Linked DNA regions of Schizosaccharomyces pombe. The protein of the gene in region 2 interacts with the protein of the main gene of each other region in a biochemical or structural test. Each region holds a gene or a part of one and is shown on either strand. Other genes may lie near its edges.

What was found.
Region 1: the proteins of txl1 (region 2) and rpn11 form a complex in vitro, tested with the Schizosaccharomyces pombe proteins (one study listed by BioGRID).
Region 3: the proteins of txl1 (region 2) and mts4 form a complex in vitro, tested with the Schizosaccharomyces pombe proteins (one study listed by BioGRID).

What each region holds. Positions count from the first base shown.
Region 1 is NC_003424.3:3,008,684-3,012,442, forward strand, and holds rpn11 (19S proteasome regulatory subunit, ubiquitin-specific protease subunit Rpn11), read left to right. Parts: upstream 1-1,962; 5' UTR 1,963-2,295; coding exon 2,296-3,222; 3' UTR 3,223-3,624; downstream 3,625-3,759. Other genes in the region: RNA polymerase III-inhibiting protein Maf1, read right to left, coding at 1-112, 477-575, 629-634; SPOM_SPAC31G5.21 (FAM32A family protein), read left to right, coding at 1,404-1,760. UniProt on the Schizosaccharomyces pombe protein: Acts as a regulatory subunit of the 26 proteasome which is involved in the ATP-dependent degradation of ubiquitinated proteins.
Region 2 is NC_003423.3:765,755-769,513, reverse strand, and holds txl1 (thioredoxin-1-like protein Txl1), read left to right. Parts: upstream 1-2,023; 5' UTR 2,024-2,035; coding exon 2,036-2,259; intron 2,260-2,311; coding exon 2,312-2,960; 3' UTR 2,961-3,162; downstream 3,163-3,759. Other genes in the region: DNA repair ERCC8 family protein ckn1, read right to left, coding at 233-957, 1,002-1,080, 1,129-1,246, 1,327-1,434, 1,498-1,645, 1,696-1,732; ubiquitin C-terminal hydrolase Ubp10, read right to left, coding at 3,261-3,759. UniProt on the Schizosaccharomyces pombe protein: Has a role in cellular detoxification of alkyl hydroperoxide.
Region 3 is NC_003423.3:2,852,385-2,856,143, forward strand, and holds the start of mts4 (19S proteasome regulatory subunit Rpn1/Mts4), read right to left. Parts: upstream 1,719-3,759; 5' UTR 1,669-1,718; coding exon 1,531-1,668; exon of another isoform or gene 1,484-1,530; coding exon 1-1,483. Other genes in the region: morphogenesis protein Mor2, read right to left, coding at 2,266-3,759. UniProt on the Schizosaccharomyces pombe protein: Acts as a regulatory subunit of the 26 proteasome which is involved in the ATP-dependent degradation of ubiquitinated proteins.

The DNA.
Region 1 (3,759 bases), on a different chromosome or scaffold from region 2:
GCTGAGTTAGGCTGAAAGCATATTCCGGTGATTTACTACTCGATAATGCAAATAGATCCTCCTGACACCGATTCTCTATAGCTTTAAAGAGTTTCTTGTCAGAATTTGTACTCTATAAAATTGTTAGCACATTTTATATATCAGTATATTCATGTCTTGGTAAGTTAATAAAGCAGAATGCTCCCGAATCTAAAAACAGACACTCAGACGCGGTACTCCATTTGGTAAACAACAATCGTAATCATTTTGGTTTCAGATTTGAAACGTAAAGAAACTAAATAAATAATCACAAAAAAAAACAATGATTATATAATTAGCTGATCTTGTACAAGAGACCAAAAAGAACCAAAATTGTTCAACTTAGTGATTTGACCACGCAAGAAAAGAGGATCATTATTAAAAGCATATGTCAAATTCAAGAACCAATGTACAATTTTCCCTTTACCAGACTAACCAAGCTTACAAGTTAAATTTACCTTGGTTGTATAGAGCTCGCACTTTCCGCGTATGCGACAATCATCGGCATCAAATGATAAGGCATTATTGACTGTATCTAAATCGGCAAGCTCAAGAAACTGGTCACAAAAACAGGGTTTAGTAAGACAAATAAAAAGTAAAATATATTTACCTTCATAGTAATTGTAATGTAATCAATTCAATTGTTTCCTTTCATTAAAAAGAGGTTTGCTGTGGTTAGGTATCAGCGTCGCGTCCAACGTCAATGTCACTTCTATTAAGGGTACGTTAATCTTAAATAACAGACTATAAGCTAATAGTAAGCGTAAGGAGTTTGTTAGATGTCGGTTCAACATTTTACCGAAGCTTAATATATTTGAGAAACCATCCCGATGCATTGCCATTTATTTTTTTATGCTGTTTTAAGGTACTTAACCGTATAATGTGTTAAAGTCCAAGTCGAAATGCATTTATTTATTCATAAAAATAAATATTTTAAGTAATTAAAAGGAGTCTAATAAAAACAAATCAGTTTAAAAATATCGATTATAAGTTTTTCCGTATTTTTCTGATGAGCATTGAGTAACTCAATTTTTCAATATTCAATTTTTTCTACAATTCTTAAAAGAAACGGTTCAAGTATCATTATTAACCAAAAAAAAAGTAATAATAATTTATTTAATGAATAATCGTCGCTTCTAGAGTATACTTGTACAATGAAATTGTACATATATATACATATTTTTTTTAAATTGAGCCCATTAATAAACTTGCACAACATACATCAATTCTTTTATTGTATTACTTATTACACTTTTACTATTAAATTATATTTATTTTATTTTATTTTTAAATTCAATTCCTAGTGTAAAATGTATTAAACTGTTTCACCTCTTATCGTACAGTTCAAACATTTTGCTTACACCAACTTACCTTTACCAAGAACTATGGACTACGTTGGTGGTTCTCTAAAACTGAAAAATGTAAAAAAAAAACCTTTGAAAAAGAAAAAGAAGGATTCTAAAAAACTTGCTGAAAAAGTTCAAGAGCATTCTTCCCGAGATAAATCACCTTTAGAAGAAAATGGCGTATCTACGTACCAAATGCTTCGCTCAAAGGATACAGACTCGGCTATGCCGATGACGGAAGCACAGAAACATTTTGAGTCTGTTCAGGAACAAAGATTACTTCAGAAAGCAAAGAATGAGCGATTGAAAACACATAAAGACAGGATTGATGAGTATAATAGACTACTGGAAAGTCAGTCGGAGCATTTTGACATGCCTAAAATTGGACCCGGCTAGTTTTCAAAACACGTCCTTTTTTCTCTCAATAGCTATACTTAAATAGCAATGGATGCCTCCTCTATTCTGCATAGTTTTTCTCCATCCACCTACCATATTCTTTTATGAATTACGCACTCTAATGAAATCACTATTTTATTTTAACAATACGCATTATACCTCATTATTGTTATAGCTATTCATTTGTCTCTAGAAAAAACCTGTTTATAGCCAACTACCACGTAAACGTATACTAGCTGCCTAAGTGAGACCAAAGACATAGAATCTTGTATATTCGTTTTGTATAGTGGTTGAAACATATAGAAAGAACTTCCTTTGAAGAACAAGCACATTATAGTGACCTTTGATTGTTTTTGTCGTCTTACTAAATATCAGTGAACAGCATTAACGTTTTGGTAACTTTATTTAAATACTTATACTGAGTTTCTCATTTAATCTCCAATTACACTTTTATTTGCGGTTATTTGAGAGGAACCCCACTGATACTGATAAACTCTCATATTTCAATACATACATACGAGTCATATTTTTCGCGATGGAATCTTTACAAAGATTGTTACAAGGTGCCCGCATGGGTACTGGTATGATGGGAGATCAGCCTCTTGTTGATAATTCCGAGTGTGTATACATTTCATCTCTAGCTTTGTTAAAAATGCTTCGTCATGGGCGACATGGTACACCAATGGAAGTTATGGGTTTGATGTTAGGAGAATTCGTTGATGACTTTACAGTACGTGTTGTTGATGTTTTTGCAATGCCTCAATCTGGTACAGGTGTCAGTGTAGAAGCAGTCGATCCAGTTTTCCAAAAAAATATGATGGATATGCTTAAGCAAACAGGACGGCCAGAAATGGTTGTAGGTTGGTATCATTCTCACCCGGGTTTTGGTTGTTGGCTTTCTAGTGTCGATATCAACACCCAACAATCATTTGAGCAATTAACACCAAGAGCGGTGGCAGTTGTTGTCGACCCTATTCAATCTGTCAAAGGAAAGGTGGTAATTGACGCCTTTCGATTGATTAATCCGTCTACCCTAATGATGGGTCAGGAACCCAGACAAACAACTTCCAATTTGGGTCACATCAACAAACCTAGCATTCAAGCTTTAATTCACGGTTTAGGAAGACATTACTACTCCCTTCGCATCAATTACAAAAAAACTGAGCTTGAAGAGATCATGCTTTTGAATTTACACAAACAGCCTTGGGCACATGGTCTTTTACTTGAAAACTTTAATTCTGCTGCGGAAAAAAATCATGCTTCTATTGATAAGATGAAATCCTTGTCAGAACAGTACACTGAACGTGTTCAAAATGAAGTGACTTTAAGTCCGGAGCAACTTCGTATTCAATACGTTGGTAAACAAGATCCCAAGAAGCATCTTGACGCTGAGGTTCAGAAATGTATAGACAACAATATTTCTTCCATGTTAGCTTGTATGCTTGATTCCGTTGCCTTCTAGTACATCTATTTTGGTAATACCTCTTTTCCATCATCCGTTTTTTATGAGCTACTTTCTTTCCTTACTCAAAGCATTTATGAACTGTTTGAATAATCCTGTTGGTCGAATCTGATACTACTTTTTTACGATTTCATATTCGTGACTAGGAGTACATTTTTTTTAAAACTTTTTACATGATCGTGGAGTATGATTGATGATATTTTGGTAAGCTCTTGAGATTGCGAGCGTTTGCTTTGATGGATTCTTATATATTTTTTTTCATAGATCCTTAAGATATACCTGCACACCAGTCTTTCAAGCTTCTTCCCAATAAGAAAAAATTGTTTCAATTATTGAATTTGTAAACATCTTCTACCAACATGTTAAAAATTTTGTTTCCTTGATTGTTTGTAATGTACCTGTAAGGATCGTCGATCAGCGTCAAACCATTGAAGTTGAATACATAAAGGTATAACTGAGGCTACTTAATTTATTATATGACATTTTAGCGTGATATGATTTTTTGATGTAGCATGATATTGTACTTGTCAAGTATTC
Region 2 (3,759 bases):
AGATTTATTCTAGATACATTAACTTTTAATGATAAACTGAAGCAACCTATGTTTGATAAGAAAAAGTACAGACAAAGTCACTTTATGGGATCAAACTATGATGTAGAGTTAAACTAATAAATAAAATATAGAAAACTTTATCTTCCTAAAAATTGTGCAATATTCAATGGAATGGCTCAAGTCTAAACTCCGTTGGTCAAAGTTTAGTTAAAATGAAACATAAGCTTAGCAATTATTGATAAGTCACTGGAATATTAATTAAAGAGTCGTATACTTCTTGAATTATGTTTCGTCTTGTTTCTAAATCCGAAATCTTCGTAGGCGATTTTAGAGCTTTAGGAGACCACATGTAAATGTTCCCATTCATATCACCAGTAAAACACTGTTCAAAGTCAGGACGATAGGCAGCACAATTAATACGTTTTAAACTGTGGGTTGAAAGTCGGCGCACAAACGAGCCTTCTAACAAGTTCAATAAGGCAAGAGACCCATCATCGTTGGGGAATAACACAAAAACATCTGAATCCATAGAGGGTTGGATCATGCAAGGATGTACCGCGAAGGAAGTAGTCTGGTTATGAATAATAGGTCCAAATTCTCTCAATGTGTTTCTTCCACTTTCCATATTCCATACTCTTATTCGATCGTCGGTACCACAACTTGCCAAATATCGAGCATCTGAAGTCCAAGCTAATCCATTAACGGTGCCGTAATGAGATATATTTGTCTGGTTACTGGGTAAATACTTATTATGTAGATCCATACATGCGAAGCTGGATGATACTTTACGAATGTCCCAAAGTCTGCAAGTGCCATCTGCAGAGCCGGACGCTAACACGAATTCATTCTTAGGACACCAATCCACCGCAAGGACATTACCCGTGTGTCCAGACAAACTATGAGTATAACTACCACTTTGCATATCACAAAGCCGAATAGACGAAGACCGGTAGGCGGCTATCGTTAGATGAACAATCTCAAGAATGAAGAATATAACGTACTGGCAATTAAACAATGTGATGCAATGGGCGACCATGCATGTGAATAAATCATGTCCTCCATAGTAAAAGTGTAAGCTTCCTACCAATATTAGAACATTGGTTAATTTGCGATTTCTACTTTTATTACCTGTAAAGTAGAAACATCCCAAACCTTGAGCGTATGATCGAACGACGAGCTAGTAAAAATACCATTATCAAACGGAAACCAATGCAAATCTGTTATTCCAAACTTATGACTCGTTCGACTAAAACACCGCAAGTTAGCTATTGATCACTAGTGTATATATTGAAATTGTCATAAACTAGGTAGAAAATGAATGCTTACGCAGGAACTGCATTTAAGGTATCCAAAATTAAATCTTCATCTTCCTTTTGGTCAATATTTTGTAGGTCCCAAACATTGATAGACGAGTTGGCTCCTCCAGAGACCATGCTGTCAATAGAAATTGTTAACCAAAAATTGAAAGCTTTGATAAATCAACGATATAGGTCATACAGCTGATGAATTGTATTATCAATGCTTAGTGCATTTACGGATCCTAAAATGCCCGCACCGTGTCTACGTTTAATTTTCACATCCGGATTCAGCGCTAACCGTTGAAGACGATGCTGCAGTAGTTGCCTTCGAAAAGAGCTATTTGGCTCTACAAATGTGAGACTTGAAATCCTTATATCACATAATCAATTGCATTACCTTGGCCCCATTCTCGTGCCAATAAAAAAGAATTCATTCGATTTCACCTAAGAAATAGACTCAGATGCTACAGTAAGCAACTGACAGCTTAAAACAACCCGGTTTTTAAACCATGTATAACAAATTAAGTCTAAATAAAATTACAGCTAGTTTAATATGAGCGGTAAATAATACTGTCAATTAATCAACTTCTATGTTTAAATAGCAAACTCAAAGGTAGTTTCCAGGAAACAATAATAAAAAAATATGTTTTTCGACGTTGGCTAGACGCACTACTAATAACGGTCGTGGTGTACGAGATGGTATTGGCAGACGGTTTATAGAACTCAACCTCAACCATATGTCAGTTATTGAAATTAGATCGTACCAGCACTGGATCTCAACGATCCCTAAGTCCGGATATCTTGCAGTTGATTGCTATGCCGATTGGTGTGGTCCTTGCAAAGCAATTTCTCCCTTATTTTCACAATTAGCATCGAAATATGCTAGCCCCAAATTCGTTTTTGCTAAAGTAAATGTAGACGAGCAACGTCAAATTGCCTCCGGGCTTGGCGTCAAAGCAATGTATGTGTTTACCTAATCCGTCACTGTACCATTGGTTTTGCTAACATTTTAGGCCTACATTTGTTTTCTTTGAAAATGGCAAACAAATTGATATGCTAACTGGAGCAAACCCACAAGCTTTGAAGGAAAAAGTTGCTTTGATTTCCTCAAAAGCCACAGGAACTGGCGCTCTTGCTTCTTCGTCATCGGCACCTGTCAAGGGTTTTGCTAGCTTGCAAGGCTGCATTGAAAATCCCCAATTGGAATGTCTAAATCAACAAGATGATCACGATTTGAAAAGTGCATTTAACAGTAATCCTTCCTCATTTTTAGAGTCGGATGTTGACGAGCAATTAATGATATACATACCTTTTCTTGAAGTGGTAAAGGTTCATTCTATTGCAATTACTCCTGTTAAGGGAGAAACTTCGAGTGCTCCAAAAACCATCAAATTGTACATCAATCAGCCCAACAATCTTTCTTTTGAAGATGCTGAGTCATTTACTCCAACTCAAGTCATTGAGGATATAGTTTACGAACAAGACGATCAACCTACAATTATTCCCCTTCGTTTTGTTAAATTTCAACGTGTCAATTCTCTCGTTATTTTTATTTATTCGAATGTCGGAGAAGAAGAAACTACTAAGATTTCTCGCTTAGAATTATTTGGTGAGCCTGTTGGTGATTCAAGTAAAGGAAAACTACAAAAGGTCGAAGCTTAGGTGCTTAACAATTTGTTAACTAAAATCATGACGGTTTACGAATTTACCTTTATGAAAATCTAGTTTCGTATACATTACTCGACCAATCTGGTGTCTTGATACCAAAGAATACTACAAACCTTTCATTTGAGCATTGTAATTGCTGACTACTCACGAAATGGGAATATAAATGGATAATCTAATTTATATAGAATAAAGATTTTCTAAGCGGTAACGTTTGATAAATAAAATGAATGTTTTTTAATTTTGTCTCACGTAGAGGAAATTTTGTGAGAAATCCAAAAATTCCACATATTAACACTATGATGACCTTTCCCAAAGCTGAATAAAACTTTCGCCTAAACGAATCATATCGCTACTGATTTCTTCAACATATAAGTCTTGAATTTGATACCATTTATTGGTAGAGGGGTTTCGAATTTGAATTCGGAAGTTATGAAATTCTTCTTCAGCATGTGTCACGGACTCATGTATAATATTAGCAACGAGGTTGTATTTCGTAGAGATTTTCGGATTTGACTGGATAAATGAGTCATCAATAAATGGGCTCATATCAAAATCATCCAAAGGAAATGTCACTATAGTTTGGTTTCTTTCCGTAAAGTAATTGTTTTTCATAAATCTTTTGATGTGAAATATAAAGTATGGAGGAGCCGTCATTAAATGAAAACGCCGTCGCATACCTGCAAGTTCTTGGGTATGTACCCCATTATATTTGTTAAGTATCTCTTTTAATTCTACTTGTGGGATGATATTACCTTCAAACTCATCTTGGAATATGGGTTTCGGAGGTAAATCA
Region 3 (3,759 bases), 2.1 Mb from region 2:
GAGTTTGTAAAATTGTGCTAGCTACATCGCCGTTGCAAGTACCAACAAAAATAAGACCTAAAGATAATGCGGCTAAGCAGGATAATTGCATAGGGCAATCGGTATCCGTAACAATTGGAGATAACATGTCGAGTAAATCTTCGCGATTAGCTCCACTGTATGCAAGTCCTAAACCTAAAATCGCTGATGCACGAAGCTTTACGGAGCCAGTTTCAAGGTATTCAGAAAGAATTGCCATAGCTGGATCAGCTTCATTTCTTACTGCAACATTTGTAACACCAATTCCCAACAATGCACCAGCCTTGGTATTCTCCTCAGAAGAGTATAAATACTTATCCAACAAAGACAATCCCATGTCAACATTCCATAATTGTAATAGGCCAATAGAAGCTGTAGCACTTATTAAACCAGATTCTTTATTTTTATAAATCCAAGACGTTTTTTCGTCATCGACCAAAATTAATCTGTCGTTACTGTATCCGGCATTGACAAGGGCATTGACAAAAGTGTTAGCTAAATTTTGTTTGGCGGAATACACTCCTGATGCACCCAATCCAGTCCTAGCCACTTCTAAATGTGTTTTAAAGATATCTTCCGGAACTTTAGGATCCATAAGGTTCAACTCCTTTCCTAGATAATGAAAGTGATCAGATAAATGAGTGTTATTTAAAGCATCGTTTAACTCCTCGTCTCCCATATCCATAGGTATTTGCTGACGAGCAAGCATGTAAGACATTTGCTTTTTCAACAAGGGATCCGTAGCAGCTTCACAGTCTTCTTTTATCAAAGACATATCATCAAGGCGGATAGCAACGTTAAGTGCTTGTGTAAGCTGGTCAAACTTCCGATAAATAGCATGCGCTGTTCTTAACATGGCGACATCTTCAGGAAATGGCAAAAGATTAACGCAACTGGTAATATAAAGACAAACGCGAGAAGCATTATCAAGTTCTACGAAGGGTACAACTTTTTCAATAGCACCCAATTCTTGTAATAAATCAATAGCATCAGCCTCAGCATTATGAGTAAGGAAGAATGGAACAATGGTCAATGCAAGTTCCATAAGATCGTCGGTTGGCGCTTCCTCTTCCTGGCGACTGGCAAACTCTTCTTCTATTTCGGAAGCCAAATGGCGAACATACTCATGACCCCATAAAGAAGGATCAGTGGTAACGCCCTGAAGACGATATTTTAATGATTCATGTTTGCTTGTATTACTATAGGACATTCCTAATACTGAAAGGATATCAGCAAGTTGAGTCTTCTGAGGGCTTTGCGGCCAGGAATCATAGATTTTAACGAGAGTAAAATAATGTGGTCTAAGAAACTTCAAAGGCTTTGGAACGGCCGTCATAGAGGAGGTAGAAGTACGAATTATTTCTTTAAGCTGAGTGAGACTGGAACCCACCAACTCAGGGGTGGCATCTTGAACAGCTTGAACTAATAATTCCAAATCATTTTTTAATTGTAAATCTTCTTCAGACTATTTGGTTAGTTTTCATTTTGAAAAATAATAGGGCTTTAACTTACTAAATCCTCTAATTCATCCCTTTCTTTGGTATTGTTCGTTGAGTTTCTGTCATTAGTTTCTGAAGTCTTTGTCCCTTTTTTGTCATTTAATGCATCATTACCACTCGGGGACTTCGAACTAATGTCTTTAGAACTCATTTTCTAGATTCCTAAGATTTTCTGAAACTGAGTAGTAATGTGTTGTCGTTGAAACTACTCTCACCCTAGTCAGAACCAGTATACCGATTGTTTACGTATTTGATTATTTATCACGTTAATTAGATTTAACAACACGCTATGCTTTCTTTATGGATCAGTACAAATGAAAAAATAATCTATTATTTAAGTTCGTCAATGTATTACCATTATTACACGATGCTTGACATTATTATCTCATGCCTCTTTTCTTATAAGAATTGTTGTAAAATAACTCGTTATTGATTGACTCTTTATGTTTTCATTTGTTTAAATACGGACATATGAAACCGATTTATATCACTACACCTAATTACCATAGTTATAGCTTGATTTTTAATAACATGACACGCTCTAAGATTTTGAATTCTAAAATTAAAGGCTGTAATGGTCAAAGAATTTTCGAGTTTAAATTAACAAAAAAATGCAAATGATAAAATAATGAAAACAAACGAATAGTTTTATATAGTACATCCATAAACGTTGCCGACTAATTTTCCATCTTACACACATGAACACCATAAAAGCTTGTATAAGTATACTAAACCAGTATAGGCAAATTCAATGCCAACCGCGGGATCGAGTTGTATCAGTAAAAGATTCATTGCTTTCACTTCCTTGAAACATTGTACGTAAATGATAATAATTTTCATGAGTTTCATGGTCTTCCACTGAATCTTCATTAATCATAGAAACAGATTGATCTAACATGGAATTCCAATTTTTATTTTGTTTCAATTCTGCTGCACCTCGTATTTCGTCCAAAGATAAACGATGTTCCGCCGAATTACCAAGTGCCTTTAAAGAAGGATAATAAGATTCAGCATCCATAAAGTAATGAGGTTTTAATTTAGAGATAAAAGACGACTTTCTTACTCTCACCGGCGGCATGTCCATCGGCAATTTTGCTGATGCATCAATTTCTTCGTTCGGTGAATAATCTCTGAAGGATTCTGTTTCATAAGCCATAAGACCTTGTTTCTGCCGTCTAAGGCTACCTGAAAGAATCGTAGCTATCCGATCGTCATAATCTTCCGATGTAATATCTAATTTTGGATCAACGGCGACATCAGGCTGAATTAACTCTTCATCCCTATCTTCAGCGAAGAAGACATCGAGGCTATGAAGAGTTGTAACTAGCTCTCCTAGTGAATTTTCGTCAAGCGAACCATGACTGTCAGTAGGAACGTGTCGCGGATAATTGGATACTTCATCAGCATGAAATCTAACCTCTGGCGTACTCACAGAAGCCTCGGTAGTGGAACAGCTATAAAATACGGCATGTACGTTGCTTTTAGTTATAGCAGCTGCATATTCAGAGTTTGGTTCATACCATCCATCCTCGTCAGGTATTTCAAAAAATCCAGCCAGACGATCATCTGAATTTTTTAATTTAGGGTCAACCATTAATAACTTTAAGGTTTGCATATCTGTGGGAGCAGATACATGAAGCACTGAGTCGGTTAGCAAAGACAACGCTTCCATTGCATAACCAGTAGGTAAGAGTCGAAGAAGCGGTGAAACAATACCTAATCCATGTTCGGAATATATAGGTTTTTGGAAATCAATTAATGGAAAGAGTTCTTTTAACACATCTAACGTAGACTTTCTAAACCAAGTCAAATTATTTGATAGAAACATCGTAAGAGTACTAACAATTTCTAGCTCGTAATCTTCAAAATAATAGGAGTATAGGTATGAAACCGTATGTTTTAAAAAATCCTTAATTGACCTGAATTTACGTTTGAGATATGTGTCAAGAAGCTCAATCAATGCATCATCGTTAAATTGTGAAGCAAGAGTAGCTAATTTATGACAGAAAACACTTAAATCAAAAGTAATAGGATCTGAATGCTCGTATGTATATACCATCGCTGGTAATGACACCAACAAGCAGGATAGTATCCTCAAATAACCAACGCCAACCAAATCATTATCCTTGAAATCCATCAGCAAAAGGAAAAAATTCATGGTAATTTCAAAAGAATTAGTTGAACGGAAACCTTTTAATATTAAAATCTGAAGACCTTGGTAATCTCCAACCCAGTTTTGGGG